2 linked regions of the Elephas maximus indicus genome follow. The protein of the gene in region 1 binds, or shares a complex with, the protein of each later gene. Links are inferred from orthologs where the notes say so. Each region holds a gene or a part of one and is shown on either strand. Other genes may lie near its edges. The genes, in order: RRN3 and TAF1A.

The links.
Region 2: RRN3 (region 1) and TAF1A share a complex: the UniProt entries of both Homo sapiens proteins name them as parts of the pol I pre-initiation complex. The link is inferred for Elephas maximus indicus from reciprocal best matches to the Homo sapiens genes RRN3 and TAF1A.

The regions. Positions count from the first base shown.
Region 1 is NC_064830.1:75,845,450-75,854,469, forward strand, and holds the start of RRN3 (RNA polymerase I-specific transcription initiation factor RRN3), read left to right. Parts: upstream 1-3,883; 5' UTR 3,884-3,937; coding exon 3,938-4,026; intron 4,027-5,475; coding exon 5,476-5,581; intron 5,582-6,877; coding exon 6,878-6,934; intron 6,935-9,020. UniProt on the Homo sapiens protein: Required for efficient transcription initiation by RNA polymerase I (Pol I). Required for the formation of the competent pre-initiation complex (PIC).
Region 2 is NC_064842.1:12,222,194-12,231,213, reverse strand, and holds the start of TAF1A (TATA box-binding protein-associated factor RNA polymerase I subunit A), read left to right. Parts: upstream 1-3,565; 5' UTR 3,566-3,629; intron 3,630-5,395; 5' UTR 5,396-5,436; coding exon 5,437-5,557; intron 5,558-8,115; coding exon 8,116-8,285; intron 8,286-9,020. UniProt on the Homo sapiens protein: Component of the transcription factor SL1/TIF-IB complex, which is involved in the assembly of the PIC (pre-initiation complex) during RNA polymerase I-dependent transcription.

The sequences.
Region 1 (9,020 bases):
GACATTAAATTTTGTTAGTTGCTTCTAAATCTTTTCTCATAAACACACATACACATGTATATTGTAAAAGTATATATTCCAGTGTTCACATATTGTTAAGCAGCTTGCTTTTTCACTTAATACATCTTGGAGATCTTTCCATTTTGGGAATGAAAGCGCTTATTTTTTTATGAATATATAATATTCTATTGAGTGGATATATCATAGTTAATTTAGCCTGTTATTGATGGACAATTTGGTTATTTCCAATTTAATTTTTTTCCTTTTTTTGCCAATTCAACTTTTTACAGGTATACAACTAATTGGAATCAATTACATTAATTGGCTGTGCAACCCTACCCTTAATCAATGCAGGTTTTTCCATCACTGTAAACAGAAACCAATTTAATAATTTTTTATGCAATAATAAATATGGACCTTGGTCAGCTGTTAATGATTAACCTTTGATCTTAAGAAACCCAGTGGTCATTTAGTCCAGTCCCTCCCCCAAGGAAACTAACAAAAATCCTAAGCAGACTGCCTAAGATCACATAGCTAGTTAGTGGCAGAGGCTGGACAGCCCTGAGTGTGAGTCCTCTTTCCATCAAATCACTGTAATTATCATTTCACTGCATTATAAATATCAAACTCAAACCAAACCTGTTGCTGTTGAGTTGATTCCTACTCATAGCAACCCTATAGGACAGAGTAGAACTGCCCCATGGGGTTTCCAAGGAGTAGCTGGTAGATTCAAACTGCTGACATTTTGGTTAGCAGCCAAGTTCTTAACCACTGTGCCACCAGGGTTCTGCATTATAAACAGCCTCCTTAAAAAACAAACAAAAAGCATCTTCTTAGAAATTCGAACTTGAGCTCTAAAATAGCTCAAAAAGTAAATTACTATTCTCATTTTATAGGTAAGGAAACCGGTTCTGAGAATTTAAAGTAGTTGCCCAAAGTCACAGAGTAAATGAAAAAGCTGGAATTTGAATCCTGCTCCATGTGACTCTAGGCTCTAAAGGGTGAAATTCTATAAGCAAATCAACCAATTCCAAATAAAAAAAAATTTTTTAAGTAATCCTGTTAGTGATAATTTCTTCTTTCCCCATTATATGAATTAATATACTTCATTGTACCAAATAAACAGACAACTTCGTATACACTTTTATGCTTAAGCTAACTCCAGTTAGTTTCTGTTACTGCTAGCCAAGAGGTTTAACCAACAGTATTATATATTGCTCTAGGGATGGTTGCAGAATTCATCTCTAGGGCACAACTGCTCTTTTAAAAAAAAAAACAGTTTAATCGGTCTTCTGGGTATATGAAAGTAAAGCAAAAATTCATTCTGGAATGAAGAAGCTCGGAACAATTAGGAACAACCGTGATGCACAGTGATATAAAAGGGTGGCTACATTGGCCAAGGCTGCATCTTTTTCGGGGGGGAGGTGAGAGGAGAGAGGTCTCTTTATTTTTTCTGATTAGGGCTGGAGACAAGGGAAGATAGGGCTCTAGGGAAGGCAAGACTGGATGAAGGAGACTTTTATCCTGGGAAGATGGGTTGGCCCATGTCCAAGGGGACTAAGTAGTGATTCCCCAGTGAAGGAGCATGTCAAAGAACCCAAATAATGAATTATACTATTTGGTTTTAAGTTTTTTTCTTGTATTATTCTCAGGCTTCCATTTAAATTTTATGTTAAACATGGAAGCCTGGTCTTAGCTGAGCTTTAGGAGAATAAGGAAGGAGCTGTGCTCAAGCTTAAGGAGAAGAAGATACTGCTGGAAGCTCTTTGTCTCTTTCCAAACCAACAACCCTGCCCTAGAAAAATGCTTACGCATGTGCATCAGACAACTATACAGGAATACTCATAGCAGTAACGTACAGGATAGCACAAATTAAAAAAAAAAGAAACTATGAATGTCTAGTGATAGAGTGGATAAATAAATTGTAATTCATATAATGGAATGGGAATCAACGGGTTGGCAATGGATTTGGTTTTTTGAATAGGCCAGAGAAAATAAACCACAACTATATACAACAGGGATGGATTTTAGAAGCATATTGTTGATTGAAATAAGCAAGCAGCAGTGTGATACACCTTGGAAATAATTGTATAAAATTTTTCAATTTTATAAAACTAAACATTGTTTAATTTTGTGGTTTAGGAATAAAACAAAGTATAATTTTAAAAAATCAGGATAGTGATGACCTTTGGGAGGAAAGCAGGGAGAAGGTGGGGCCTGGAAGGAGCACACAGGAAGTTTCAATCATTTAGGTTAACGGTCTGTTTCTTAAATTGGGTGGTACTTTCACAGGTGTTCATTTATTATGTTTTGTAGTTTATATTAACATATTCTTTTGTACATATCAACTTTTTAAAACGAAAGAATAAAGTATTTGTCAAATTGCTTGACAGTACAAAGTTACTCTTCCACTCAGTGTATGAGAGTACTGATGAACTGTGATTAAAACAGCTTTTTTTTCTTTTCCTTTGGAGGAGGAAAGGAAGAAATTCCCACTTAAACAGCTGTCTTGAAGCGTCCTTGCCAACTAGGGCACAATCACTTCCTCTGCTCTTCGGACGTTGTTGACTTCTGCCCAACATTCCCCAGAAACTCTGAAGCAGTGAGGGAAGAAATGGTGGTGGGACTGAATAGAGACAGCAGAAAGACAGTTACTATTTTACACTGTTGCAAAACAGAATTGCCCTTTATACCTAACAATTATATTAGCTGTAACCGCCCCTTAGTATTGAGGGGAGGGACAGTCCCTCCTTTACCTTTGCCTCCTCCCCTCCATGCTTTGGCACCTACTGTTCTCTGTTGTTAGTTGCCATCTAGTCCATTCTGACTCAGGACCACCCCATGTGTGCAGAATAGCTCCTTAGGGCTTTCGAGGCTGCGACCTTTCAGAAGCAGATCACCAGGCCTTTCTTTCCAGGAGCCTCTGGGTAGGTCTGAGTTCAAACCGCCAACCTTTGTGGCTAGTAGTCAAGCACTTAACCACTTCCACGACCACCACTCAGCTGCTTTGTTAGGTTGGCTAGCTACTGTTCCTCCTTTAAAACTTCAAGTTCAAAGGTTAACACCTCTTGGAAACTGCCTTTGCCCCATTTCTCATTCCAGCATCACCACTCACAGCTCTGAGAGTTTAGAGTAAGTCACTTGCCAAGACTCAGTTTCCTTGTGGATAAGATTATCTCGGGCGCCTGTGAGGATAGTGCGGAGGTTATAGAGCCCAGGGTCCTTGGTCACGCAACCTGGCTCTCATTCTTGGCCACCCCTTTTCTCTGTGAGGGTTTGAGTTACTCACAGGGCCTCAGTTTCCGCATTTATGCTCAATTATCATGTTTGTAGAAGTGCTTTGACTAAAGAATGTTTTAATACTCAGTGGAACCCAGCGACTGCTTAGCCCCTCCCAGCGCCCTCCGTCTTCCTTTGGGATCCTCAGTGTTAAAAGGAGCTCCTTGGGTGGCGCAAGCTGTTTCTGCTGGATCAGAGGTAGGCAGTTGGAATTCACCCTGCAGAGCCACAGAAGAAAGGCCTGGCGACATGCTTCCGTAAAGGTTACAGCCAAGAAAACCCAGTGACCTCAGTTCTACTCTGTAACACATGGGGTTGCCATGGGTGTGAATCAACCGGGCAGCAATGGGTTTGTTACTTTGGTTTTGGCTAGAAGAAGCCGCTGCCCCCCGTTTTTAAGGCCACCCTCGGCGTTTCCCGCCTCACTGGGCAGACAAAATCTTCAAATTAGGAGGGGCGGCTGGGAGGCGGGGCTGAAGGGCTGAGGGGGAGACTTGGCGGCGCTCTAGCCCGCCGACATCGCCTTGCTCTCCTCTCCTGGGCTCCCTCATTGGCCGAAGTCTGTCGCTTACGCGCCCGCGGCTTCCGGTACGGAGGCGGTAGCTGGAGGCAGGACGACTTCCGGCGCGAGGCGCAGCAGTGGAGCTTGTGCGGGCCAATGGCGGCGCCGCTACTTCACACGCGGTTGCCCGGGGATGTGGCCGCTTCGGCCTCTGCGGTCAAGACGCTGGGGGCCGCGAGGACTGGGTAAGGGTCGAAGTCCCCCTTCCTTTTGAGCGTTAGGGACTAAAGCCCAGGCCCGGGGTTGGGGCAGCGGATATGAAAGACGCAAAGCTGATGAAGTGGGGTGGGAGCAGGGGCCAGTGAGTCAACTCAGGTCTTCCAGAGTGATTTATTCCCCCGAAGTGGCTGATGGAGGCGGGAGGGGGCGTTGGAAAAATAAATGAGCCCCTTCTCTGTTCCGGGGGCCTCCTTTCTCCTCACTGGTCTCCCTCATAGCGTCCCTGGCCTGGATACTGCCATCAGTCACTTTCCACCTTCCCTAGTCTAGATTTGGAACGAATTCCCTGGGCTATGTGGATTATCAGATAAATGCTATCAGTGCGGGTAAATTACGTCCTAAAATATTTTTTCTTGTTTTAAATTGGTGTGACACATTTGTTTAACAGTCTTTATTCAGCTCTTGTAAAGCTTCCAGCCAACTTAGAACATTTTGAGATTTAACTTTGAGATTCATTGGTAGGAATGAATGTTTTGTCACTAATCTGCTCTGTTTCAATAAGGCGAAGTTTGTGAAACACTTAGCATGCTATCACAGGATATTTATTGAGCACATACTTACTACATTAGTTACTGGGGACAGTAGTCAATCAAAAGACAAGGTGCCTGCTGGAAACAAGTTTACAATCTGGGGCAGAAAGGCAGTAAACATACCAATAAATAAATGAACAGAATGATATCAGATAGTGCTAAGTACTGTGAAGAAATAAAACAGTGATGGAGGAGGAAGAGGGTGGGCACTTTAGAATTCTTGTGGGGATGGGCTTTCTCACATTTGAGCGGCAACTTGAATGAAGACAAAAAAGAGAAAGTGTTTTTGATAGATACAAAGTTATTACCACTTTGTACAGATACTGGTTTGCCGGAGCGAAATGAGAATCAGCTTGTCAAGTGTGAAGAACAGAAAGAGCAGTATGGCCACAGTGTAGCAAGTGGTCAGAGATGAGGTCAGAGAGGTGGGCAAGGGCCAGATTAATGTAGGATCTTGAAGGCCACAGTAAGGAGTCTGGATTTTTATTCTAAGTGCAGCAATAAGGCATTGGAGAGTTCAACAGGAGAACAGTGTGGCACAGTCTGTTTTAACTGTCTGAAACAAGTCTGGCTGCTCAGTGAAGAATGAATTATTGGGGGCAAGAGGGGAAGCAGGGAGACTGTTTAGGCTTTTGGAGTAGTCCCATTGAATGATGTTGGTTGCCATCAAGTCAACTCTGACTCATAGCTACCGTATAGGACAAAGTAGAACTGCCCCATAGGGTTTCCAAGGAGAGCTGGTAGATATGAACTGCTGACCTTTTGGTTAGCAGCTGAGCTCTTAACCACTGCGCTACCAGGGCTTAACCTCAGTTAATGTTGGCTATTATAATTTTTATTATTCTCTGTCATGAAATTAATCATTTGATAATCTTTGTTCTACAGGATTTCAGATATGCTCACATTAGAGAATGATTTCTTCAATTCTCCCCCAAGAAAAACAGTTCGGTTTGGTGGAACTGTGACAGAAGTCTTGCTGAAGTACAAAAAGGTAAAGGAAGAGATAACGTGTGAGGACTGGTTTATGTGGGTCAGAATACACCCACAGCTTTTATACTAAAGACCAATAAAAACCCATTGCCATCGAGTTGATTCCAATTTATAGCAGCCCTATAGGACAGAGTAGAACTACCCCATAGAGCTTCCAAGGAGTGCTTGGTGGATTCGAACTGCTGAGCTTTTGCTTAGCAGCCATAGCACTTAACCACTATGCCATCAGGGTTTCCAAAGATCAATAGGCATAATGAAATGAGTTTTTGGTATCGGCCTTGAAGCTATTTCATAACAGCTCAAAATTAGAGTAATAACAAGTCTTTGCTGAGGTTTCACCTCTTCAAATGTTATATTTACACATTTTTTTTTTATCTATGCTTGAGTAAAAAACCATTAGATCAGAGCATTTTATCTTCCTAAGGAATTACCTGAGCATTACTTTGAAACAATAAACCAGCTTTGCAGAAAGACGTTTTTGTTGTGTTTTTTTTTTTTTGGAATTTGTTTTTGCAGTTGTTTAGAAGTAATGCTGTTAGATCTCAGTGATGGAGGGGAAAATATAGATGACTATCCATTTGTGTACATGATATCAATTTATAGCCATATATGTGAATCATATTTTCATTCCCCCTGAATTAGATATAAAAAAAAAAACCCGTTGCTGTCGGTCAGTTCTGACTCATAGCGACCCTATAGGACAGAGTAGAACTGCCGCATAGAGTTCCCAAGGAGTACCTGGTGAATTCGAACTGCTGACCTTTTGGCTAGCAGCCATAGCACTTAACCACTATACCACCAGGGTGTCCTGAATGAGATATAGTGATTTTTTTTCTCATTTTGAGAATTCTCAGAGTACAAACTATCATAATCAAATATCAGTACACAAGTATATATCTTAAGTAAATGTGAATGGTTTTTCAGTTGTCCTTTTTTCCAAGCTGCCTGGCTCCACTAACATTAGTTTTTAAACTTTTGTAGTCTTGATTTTATAATCCTCAATTGATGTGTGGAAATTATATTATTCCTTTTGTAATTTCGGAAGATATTAAGGTATAGTTAAGAGTCCTGCTGTTGATCTTTAATAGGAAACGAGAGCAAACCAGGGCTTTGACCAGTTCGTTTTGGTTCAGCCCCTGATGAGAATTTGCCATTCCACTGTAGACATACTGAATCAGAATCTACATTTTAACAGGATCCCCAGGTGATTTGGGATGTGTATACATAAGAATCACCTGGGGATCTTGTTCAAAGCCCTGAAACAAACATAACCTCATTTTTTTCTCTTCTCGTTAAGGGTGAAACAAATGACTTTGAGTTGTTGAAGAACCAGCTGTCAGATCCAGACATAAAGGTAATTAATTTTGCGTTTGGTCATTAGCAGTGTTATTGCCACTTTGTACAGACGGTAGTTTGCACTTTTGGTCCATTTCATCCTCTAGAATTTGCTCTCTTCAGCTCCTTCTTATACAGTGGTTCACAGTCGGGGCAGTTTTATTCTGTAGGGGATAGTTGGCAGTGCCTGGAGTTACTTGTGGTTGTCCTAGCTGGGAAAGGAAAGTGTTACTGGCATTTAGTGGGTAGATGACAGGAATGCTGCTGAATATCCTACAACACACAGGAAAGCCCTCTACAACGAAGTATTTTCTGGCCCAAATGTCAGTGGTGCTGAGGTTGGGAAACCCTTGTTTAATCCCTTTCTTTATCGCATCTTTTTCCTCTCTCCTGGCATGCAAGTCTCAAGTTTCCAGTGCTAAGATAAAACAAAAACCACAAAGAAAAATGACTTGTCTTTGAAGCTACTACTGCATGTTCACCGTTGACAAGTTGAAAGTATATACCTGTCATGTAATAACAACTCAGTAAATTTTGGCTCCCTTTTTTTCCTTCACTGCCCAAATTTGGAAAGAATAGTCTTTACAGTATATTTTATATCCAGGTTGGTAAGTCTACCTTCACCGAGTTCTTTCGGCTGCATATCCAGAGTTCTCAACTGGTGCGGCAGTGGGGGCAGCTGTTTCTTCTTTAACTCCATTTACAGTCAATTTGTATTTCACTTGCAGCCTTATTACATGTCATTTCTTTACTTTCTTTGTTGGCCAACTCCCTTTTTTGATTATACATTTTTGTAGCGTCTCATGGATTAATCATTGGGAGACAAGTAACACAGCTAGAGTACATTTTGTTATCTGTGTATGAACTGAATAATGTGTAGTGAACAATTGTAGCTGGACTTGGAAAGACTTTGTAGTGACCAGTCGTAGTTGGACTTTGAAAGAAGTGATGTTATTTGTCCCTGTAATGATGTACATCTGTTACTTATGTAGTGAGTGGTGGATTGAACAGCTAGCAGTGAAGTTTGTATCTTATGCAATTACAGTTAATATACCATGGTGACTGAAATTTGGGTTTACAGGCAGTCCCCGGGTTAGAAACTTACAACCTCTAGTTATGAACCAGCCCCCATAAAGCCTATTATATTAAAAATTTGAGGTACATACAGTGGTTCGTAATAACAAATAGGTGCTACTTTGCAACATGCATAAAAACGTTATTATTATTACTATATTATGTTATGGATGTTTTAGTGTTCCTGGAAGTGTTTAATGTTTTTATACATAGAAGGGTATACTATATACTAAGATAAACATTTAACTAACTGATGTTAGATATTAAGCATTCCTTACTTCTGACTTGTGTACAAATTTGACTTAAAGACAGACTTAGGAATGAAACTCGTGTGTAATCCAGGGACTGCCTGTATTAGAAATGTGCAAAGTGAAGGACTGCCTGTATTTCTAACAACCAGAGTTGGTTCGTTTGGTTTAAATATCGGATTCTCCTTCTGAAGGAAAACTACAAATGGGATTTTATTGTTGTTAGGTGTTGTTGAATCAATTTTTGACTCATAGCGACCCCATGTGACACTGCCCCATAGGCATTTCTAGATTGTAATCCTTATGGGAAGGAGCCCTGGCAGTGCAGTGTTTAAGCACTCAGGTGCTAACTGAAAAGTCAGTGGTTCAAACTTACCAGGTGTTCCACCAGAGAAAGGACCTGGCAATCAGCTTTCAATCTAGGAACCCCTATGGGGCAGTTCTACTTTGTCCTGTATAGTTGCTATGAGTAGGAATCGACTTGATGGCACACAACAGTCTTCATGGAAGCAAATCACCAGGTCTTTCTCTCACAGAGCCACTAGGTGGGCTCAAACCACCAACCTTTTGATTAGCCGCCGAGCACTTAACTGTTGCATCACCAAGAGCCCTTCTTATATTGATGACTTCCAATTAAAGTTGGAATTGACTCGATGGCAGCAGGTTTGTTTTTTTTTTTAACTGACTATTGTCAGCATACCTGCAGGTCAGCTTGAATATGGAGAAAATATAGGTAGCGATTGGTCCTAACTGTGTCCTGTAGGGTTGCTATGGGTCAGAATT
Region 2 (9,020 bases), on another chromosome or scaffold:
CCCATAGAAGCAGTGACCAAGAAATCAAACAACTTATTGCAGTGAGTAAATCTGCTAAAAAGACCTCTTTAAAGTTTTAAAAAGCAAAGATGTCACTTGGTGACTAAGGTGTGCCTGATCCAAGCTATGGTCTTTTCAATCACCTCATATGCATGTGAAGGCTGGACAGTGAAAAAGGAAGACAGAAGAATTTATGTGTTTGATTTGTGGTGTTGGTGAAGAATACTAAATATACTGTGGGCTTCCAGAAGAACAAACGGATCAGTCTTAGAAGAAATACAACCAGAATGATCCTCAGAAGCGAAGATGGTGAGATTTCATCTTGTTTACTTCGGACACATCATCAGGAAAGGCCAATCACTAGAAAAAGCTATCACATTTAATAAAGCAGAAGGTTAGCTAAAATGAGGGAAACCCTCGATGGATGGATTGACCCAATAGCCACAACAATGGACTCCAACATATCAATGATCATGTAGATGGCACAGAGCCAGGCAACATTTCATTTTGTTATACTTAAGGTGGCCATGAGTTGGAGCTGAATTGAGGGCAATAAACAACAGTTGGATAATATTTTTCTCTATGTTATTATGTGATCTGTTTTTGTTTTTATGTTATTGCTTTTGCCACATTGATTTTTTAAAGTCGTATTCATGCTATTAACTGTTGTATAGTATAGTTAATTTATGAAGATGTCTCTCCAATCGTTTAGTTGTCTGAAGCTCATTCTTCAGTAGACTGCACAGGAAAGGCTCATGGGACTACTCTTCTCTACATGTCAGTGTGCAGGCTTTTTTGTTTTTTAATGTAATTCATCATCATATTCAGTGGCTCTTTAGCACAAAGCAGTTGTGAGAACACCTTTCAGTTCTTTGGGATGTTTTCTAGATAGGAGTCTGTCTGCTTTTTGCAGGCTTCATTTTATTTTGTTTGCATTTTTGACATGTCATTCCTTTTTTATCTTGTTTATAATATTAGCTTAGACATAATATGGTCCATAAATTTTTACCAGAGTGATACCATGAGAAAGACAAGAGGAAGGTAGGGCACATAATGATAGTCATTCTTTACTTTCCCTCTTTTATGTACTGTGGCCGAGAGGTGTTGAAGAACTTTAAGGAAAACCAGATATTCTTTCTCCATTTTTGTGACAGTATGAATTTCTAGCCATGTATACAGGCATACCTTGGAGATATTGCGCATTGGGTTCCAGACCACCGCAATACAGCAAATATTGCAATAAAGTAAGTCGCACAAAATTTTTGGTTTCCCAGTGCATGTAAAAGTTATGTTCACACTATACTGTAGTCTATTAAGTGTGCAACAGCATTACATCTAAAAAAACAATATACATACCTTAATTAAAAAATACTTTATTGCTAAAAAATGCTAATCGTCATCTGAGCCTTCAGTGAGCCGTGAAGGGTCTTTTGCTGGTGAAGGGTCTTGCCTTGATGTTGACAGCTGCTGACTGCTCCGGGTGGCTGTGACAACTTCTTCAAATAAGACAGTCGTGAAATGTGCTGCATTGACTGATTCTTCCTTTCACAAAAGATTTCTCTGTAGCACATAATGCTGTCTGATAACATTTTACGCACGGTAGAACTTCTTTCAAAATCGGAGTCAATCCTCTCAAACCCTGCCACTGCTTTATCAACTAAGTTTATGTAATATTGTAAATCCTTTGTTGTGATTAACAATGTTCGTGGCATCTTCACCAGGAGTAGATCCCATCTCAAGAAAACTCTTTCTCGGCTAATCGTAAGAAGCAACTCTTCATCCATTAAAGTTTTATCATGAGATTACAGCCATTCAGTCCATCTTCAGGTGCTACTTCTAATTCTAGTTCTCTTGCTATTTCCACCATATCTGCAGTTACTTCCTCCACTAAAGTCTTGAACCCCTCGAAGTCATCCATGAGGGCTGGAATCAACTTCTTCCAAACTCCTGTTAATATTGATATTTTATGTTATATGTCACGGCAAAGGAATAAATACAGACTGACCAAGGCTATAGACTAGAGGCTAATGGCTATGTTCTTTTGTGTGTGTGCCCTCCTGGACCACACTGTGATTTAGGTCATCCCTGCCCTGGGAAGCTTGGGCACAGGCTTATGTGGGGCCAAGCACTTATGACACAAGGGGCAGCAGGAGGAACTTTTCTTGCAAGTCCGTAACTATTGCAGTGTTTACTAAGACAACACAGAACCAAGTATTCATAGCATTTCAAGGAGTCCATGTATAAGGTGTTACTGTTGTTGTTCTTAGCTGCCGGCAAGTCAGTTCCAGCTCATAACGACCCTGTGTACAAGAGAACAAAACACTGCCCAGTCCCGCCCCATCCTCACAATCTTTACTATGCTTCAGCCCACTGTTGCAGCCTGCTGTGTCAATCCATCTCATTGATGGTCTTCCTCTTTTTTACTCACCCTCCACTTTGCCAAGCATGATGTCCTTCTCCAGGGACTGGTCCCTCCTGGTAACATGCTCAAGTTATGGGAGGCAGTCTCGCCATCCTTGCTTCTAAGAAACATTCTGGCAGTCCTTCCAAGACAGGTTTGTTCATTCTTCTGGCAGTCCATGGTATATTCAGTATTCTTTGCCAACACCATAATTCAAAGGCATCACTTCTCCCTTGGTCTTCCTAGATCCTTTAATTTCCTCTATAATATCTTGATTCTGCCCAAATGGTTCACTCTTTTGGGAGGAGAAACCCCAAGGTTCCTGGGGGGAGCCTATGTCATTATTTGTGCAGGCTTAGGTGTGAACAAAATTCTTTCTTGGAATGACTTTAAAGCTGCCCTCCTTTAGCTTTCACCTGTTAGTGCTAGTTCTGTACTCTGATGCTATGAAAAGGTAGTTGAAGCCTTCTTTCACAGATCAGCTGTCCAAACACTGGAGACATACAGTGTATTCCCACGTGTCTCTGCTTTTCCCAGATCGTCATCTCTACAACCCCTCAACTGTCTATTATTTTACATAGTTTAACCGTCTTACTTCCAACCCGATCCCTATTTCATATAGGTTTGTCAGTGTCCTTCATGAAAGGTGGCCCTAAACACGTACGCAGAACAGCCCCCGTTGAGAAGAAAAACGAGATTCTAGCTCAAATTATGGTGAAGTAGTCAGAGACACTTAAACTTTAATAAAAAAGAAAAGAGCTCTTAAGAAAGTAAAGAATATGCAACAATCTATCTTGTAATGCCAGCAGCCAGCCTCCGGTAGCGCAGTGCACCTAAGCCCAGCAGAAACCGAACGGTCATCGCAGAGTAAAGAACTCGAGTAAAGTGACATTCTGCATTTTTGACTGTTCCTCCCAACCAGTTGCTCTCCTGTTGCCTAATCCCCATTTGCAATTAAATTTTCCCACTCTCCGGCTGCAGGTAACAACAACATACATCCGGAGACAAGCCACCAGGGGCGCGTCGGTTTCAGTCACTTCCGGGGTCGAATAGCGGCGATGACGTCACAGCCGAAGTGGTTGTTAGAGGTGGGGGGGGTTGCGTCACGAGGCGCCAGAGCGCCGGCGGCCGATTTTGCGCATGCTCACAAGAAGCGGTGGCCGGCGTCACTTCCGGTTCCGGTTCTCCAACGCTGTTCCGCGAAAGAGGAGGCGAGAGCAGCAGACAGGTAAATGTCCCGCACGATGTCCCTCGTTCATCGCTTGTGCTAGGGTTCATCCGTGCTCTTCTAATATTTTCTCCAGATACCCTGGAACCTTCAATTCTAAGAACAAGTGAGAGGAGGTGGAAAAGCTTTAGTTACCGTGATAACTGCGGGACAACATTTTGGGTCTGCGAATTTGAGAAGGGAGCTCTTCTGTAACGACCCCTTTAAAATACAGCTGGTGGTCGGACTCAAATTTAGATCTTATATAAAACCCTTGTTCCTAACTGCAGAATTAGGTTTTGCAAAGTTTAGTGTGGCTGTATTGTGAAGAGGCAAAATTTGGCTGTATTGTGAAGAGGCAAAATTTGAGGCAGCGTTTTTACCGTTACCCGTTGCCGTCGAGTCGATTCCGACTCATAGCGACCCCACAGGACAGAATAGAACTGCCCCGTAGAGTTTCTAAGGAGCACCTGGTGGATTCGAACTGCCAGCCTTTTGGTTAGCAGCTGTAGCACTTAACCACTACACCACCAGGGTTTCCTGGTTGTGTCAAGAGTACCTAATAATTGATTGGATATGGAGAATTAAGCATCTTCAGGATCAAGTCCAAACCCAGCCTGTCATGTGACTATCTTTCTAGGTTCCTTTCTCACCATCAGTTCCAACTGCCTTCCGCTGCCCTCCTCCACACCCCCACACCCCCAACTCCAGCCCTGTCAAGCTGTTTGATGTTACTTCTATTTCCTGAAATGTCGCCCTCATCCTTCTTGTGACATTGGGCAGCGTAGTTACCTTCACTAATTATTTTCCTCCATTTTAATGTTGAAGAAACTGAGTGGCTACTTTTAGGAAGTAGGAAGAACGTCAAACTGCTTGTCAGGGCTAGAGTTTGGGGGCTTGTGTGAAGGAGGGATGCGAAAGGTAGAACTGACCGTGAGAGAGGAACCTGGAAAGATAATCATATGCCAGGCTGACTTTGGACTTGATCCTGAAGATGCTCAGGGTAGAAAAAAAAAACACCCCACTGGTGTTGAGTGGATTCGAACTCATAGCAACCCTATAGGACAGGGTAGAACGGCCCCATAGTTACCAAGGAGTGCCTGGTGGATTTGAACTGCCAGCCTCCTGGTTAGCAGCCGTAGTACTTAAGCGCTAAGCCACCAGGGTACCTCTCCCTAATTCCCCATGTGCAGTCAGTTATTAGGTACTGTTGATGCTACCTCCAAATATTTCTCCGATATTCTCTCTTTAGGATTGCTGTTATTTAATTTAGGATTAGATTAGATAATTTATATGCCTGGCATATAGTAGGAGCCCTGGTGGCACAGTGGTTAATAGCTGCAGCTGCTACTCAAAAGGTTGGCAGTTTGAATCCAGCAGTTGCTCCTTGGAAACCCTATGGGGGACAGTTCTGCTTTGTCCCATAGGGCTGCTATGAGTTAGAATCAACTGAGTGGCAATGGGTTTGGCATATAGTAAGGATTTAAAAAATTTAGGCAAGTGCTACTACTGTTACTATCATGCTTGTTATATTGTTTTATTATGTACTTTTCTGTTTCTCTAGACTAGGTTTTTTTTTTTTAAACAGTATCATTTATATTTGTATATTCTTGGCACATAGTAGTTACTGAGTTTTTTTATCAAAAGGACCATATGTTTTGGCTGTTACTGATATAATTAAATTCATTTTTTACTTTAAAGGAACTATGAAGTACAGTGAATTCTGCTGAGTAAATGATATTTATTAGATGGCTTTTTTTTTTTTTTTTTTTGGTATAACTCAAAAGCCTATGGATTAAGGTGCACGTATTCCCAGTTTGGAATAGGTATGAGTGACTTCAGTGGCGAATTGACGAGGCCTATGGCCGAGGCTGATCAGGTGGAAAAATCAATGCTCTCTGGTACAGGAATGTCTATTCCTTGGCTCCGAAAGCAAATGGAAACTGTGGGTAAGTAAAATAACATCTAACCATTTTAACCTGATGCAAGGAGATGGTAAGGTTCAATGTGGATACAAAATGAAGAATCAGGCTGGGAAGAGCTTCCGTTTTCAAGATGGGAATATGTGAGATTTTTTTCTAGCCATGAGAAAAGAAAATAAACTGTAAAAAAAACATAGATTTTTTCTCTTGTAGAGTTCTTTTCCTTTGAATTAACAGTAAATAGTCTGTATTGTGGCAGTGTCGTAAGTTCGAGGGATATTAGGACTAATCAAGGAAGAAGATGTGACCGTGAGATTGAAGTTTGGCACAACAAAGTTTTCATTGGGTAGCCGTATGCAGGAGACCTTCTGTTGTGGCTTGAACCGTGTCCCTCAAAAATGTGTGTCAACTTGGTTAGGCCATGATTCCCAGTATTGTGTGGTTGTCCTCCATTTTGTGGTTGTAATTTTATGTTAAAGAGGATTAGGGTGGGATGTAACACCATTGCTCAGGTCACATCCCTGATCCAACGTAAAGGGAGTTTCCCTGGAGTGTGGCCTGCACCACATTTTATCTTACAAGAGATAAAAGGAAAGGGAAGCAAGCAGAGAGTTGGGGACCTCATACCACCAAGAAAGAAGCACCTAGAGCAGAGCACATACTTTGGACCTGAGGTTCCCGCAGGGAGAAGCTCTTAGTCCAGGGGAAGATTGAAGACAAGGACCTTCCTCCAGAGCCAACAGAGAGAGAAAGGCTTCCCCTGGAGCTGACACCCTGAATTAGGACTTCTAGCCTACTAGACTGTGAGAAAATAAATTTCTCTTTGTTAAAGCTGTCCACTTGTGGTATTTCTGTTAGAGCAGCACTAGACAACCAGGACACCTTCCACAGGCAGCAGACATAGAGAGCCATCAGAGGGGAAAAAACCAAGTCCTTTGCCACCGAGTTGATGCTGACTCCTAACGACCCTATAAGACAGAGTAGAACCCTGGTGGCACAGTGGTTAAATGCTTAGCTGCTAAACCAAAAGGTCAGCATTTTGAATCCACCACCTGTTCCCTGGAAACCCTATGGGACAGTTCTACTCCATCCTATAGGGATGCTATGAGTTGGAATAGGCTTGACGGCAATGGGTTAGCCTAGAGTGTTGTAGTGTAGGAAGTTACTCTTAAATTAGGTCTGTAACTAAATGCATTCTTAACATGGTGTCTTAGGCTGCGTTCTCTAGAGGAGCAAAACCAGTGATGCGTACGTTACGTTGTTGTTAGGTGCCATTGAGTCAGTTCCAACTTCTAGTGACCCTATGTACAACAGAATGAAACCCTGCCCAGTCCTGTACCATCCTCACAGTTATTGATATGTTTGAGTCCATTGTTGGAGCCATTGTGTCAGTTTATCTTGTTGATGATCCTCCTGTTTTTAATGAAGCGTGTATGCATAAATATATGCACAGGGAGATTTGTCTCAAGGAAATGGCTCATGCAGTTGTGGAGGGTGGCAAATCCCAAATCTGTGGGTGAGGCATCATGCTGGAGGCTTCTCATGACTCGTGGTTGCAGGGGCTGATGAACCTAAAATCGGCAGATTGGGCAGAAGGCTGCTGACTTGGGGTTGCAGGAGCTGGTGAATCCCAGGATCTGTAGGTCAGGTGGCAGGCCAGAGGTCAGAGAATGACAAATCGGATGCAGGATCCAGAGCACAGGAGCTTCGCTGTAACATCTGTATATGTTGGATCCAGGCCACACCGTGAAGGAAACTCCCTTTGCAACTGATTGGCTGCTTATATCAGATCACAAAATGGGGGATGACTATATCAGGCAGAAAAATGGAGGATGATTACATCATTACATAACTGCCAAACTACATCATTATGTAACTGCCATACCACTTAGAATCATGGTCCAGACAAGTTGGCACACAACCTTCACTATCACACATGCTGATTGCCAATACTTTAGATGTAAATGCTAATATCTACAACTATTTTAATCTCATTTGCATTTCATATCATTGAGTTGCTGAAACTCAGTCCTTAAAACCTAAAAGCTTACCTCTTGGAGTTTTCAGAATGTTGGTAAGTAATAAAGATCGTGCTTGCATAGGATGACTCTGATGATTTTTAATACCTGTTCTAAATACCTGAAACTGTGCTTTTGGGAGTCTCTGGGAGCTCCCAAGATTGTTTAGTGCGAGAATGAAAGGATGATTGAATCAGATTTGAAGGGTAACCCAAGAACAACTGGTAACTTAAGAACATCAGATAAGGCATTCTTATTATTAGCTGATAACAGTACGGAAGGGTTTGTTGCAAGTGAACCTGATTTGATACTGAGGATGGGCTGATTCAGTTAACGCCTACTATTCTACTTGTTAACGAAAAGGTCAGCAGTTGGAATCTACCAGGTCCTTCTTGGAGACCCTATTGGGAAGTTCTACTCTGTCCTGTAGGGTCGCTATGAGTCGGAATTGACTTGATGGTTTTTGGTTTTGGTTCTACGTGTGAAAAATTTTGCTTGCCAAAAGTTTTTGAATCATTGAATTGGGGGTCACTACGGGTAAAGTCTGTCTTCTTTTTATCTTTGTAGAGACTGGAGGAAAAAAGGAGAAGGATTTTGCCAAGACAACAAGTGCTTGTTTAGGTTTGATCCAAGAAGCTCTGCTAAAACACCAGTGGGAGAAAGCGGCGGAATATATGCATAGTTATTTTCAGATCTTGGAAGACTCAGATGCCGGCAAAAGGCAGGCTGCCCCTGAGGTAAACAAAGTGTAAGTGTGCTGGAAGATATTAGATCCCTGGGAGTTTCTGCCTCTGGAGCTTACCCAGAGTAGCTTTGTAGATTCCCAAATTGATGTTACCAAAAACTACTAGAAGTAGCTTTGGGTGTAGAGATTGTATCAGGACATTTTTTGTATACTTCTTTTTACTTACTCTCATTTTAAAGGAGACTAAAAATACTTTGAGCTCTAAATTCTCCAATATTCATCATTCCAACACTTCTTTCCTTTTCTACAGAATATTTCCCATCATCATACAGATATGTTTTTTCTTCAGTATTAAAATCATCTCTCACCCCCACGTCCTCCACCAGCTATGCCTCATTTTTCAACTCCCCCTTTCAGCAGAGCTCCTTGAAAGAGGTGAATATACCTGTTCTCTCCAAACCCTCTCCTGTTAGACACCCTTTCCACTCATCGTCACCATTTCAACAGAACTGTTTAGTCGAAGTCAGCAATGACTGCTATGTTGTTCAGTCCAGTAGCAGTTCTTGGTGCTCATCTAACTTGATCTGTCAGCAATATTAACAGTTAGTAGGTGACTCCTTCCTGTGTGATCAATTTTCTCTCTTTGGCTTCTAGGATATTGCACTTTCTCTTCATTTTCTCTCCTACTTCACTGACTATTCTTCAGTCCTCTTTTCTGGTTGCTGCTCTTCTCCCTGGCCTTTTGGCTTGGGAGTGCCCCAGGGCTCAATCCTTTGTCCTCTTCCTG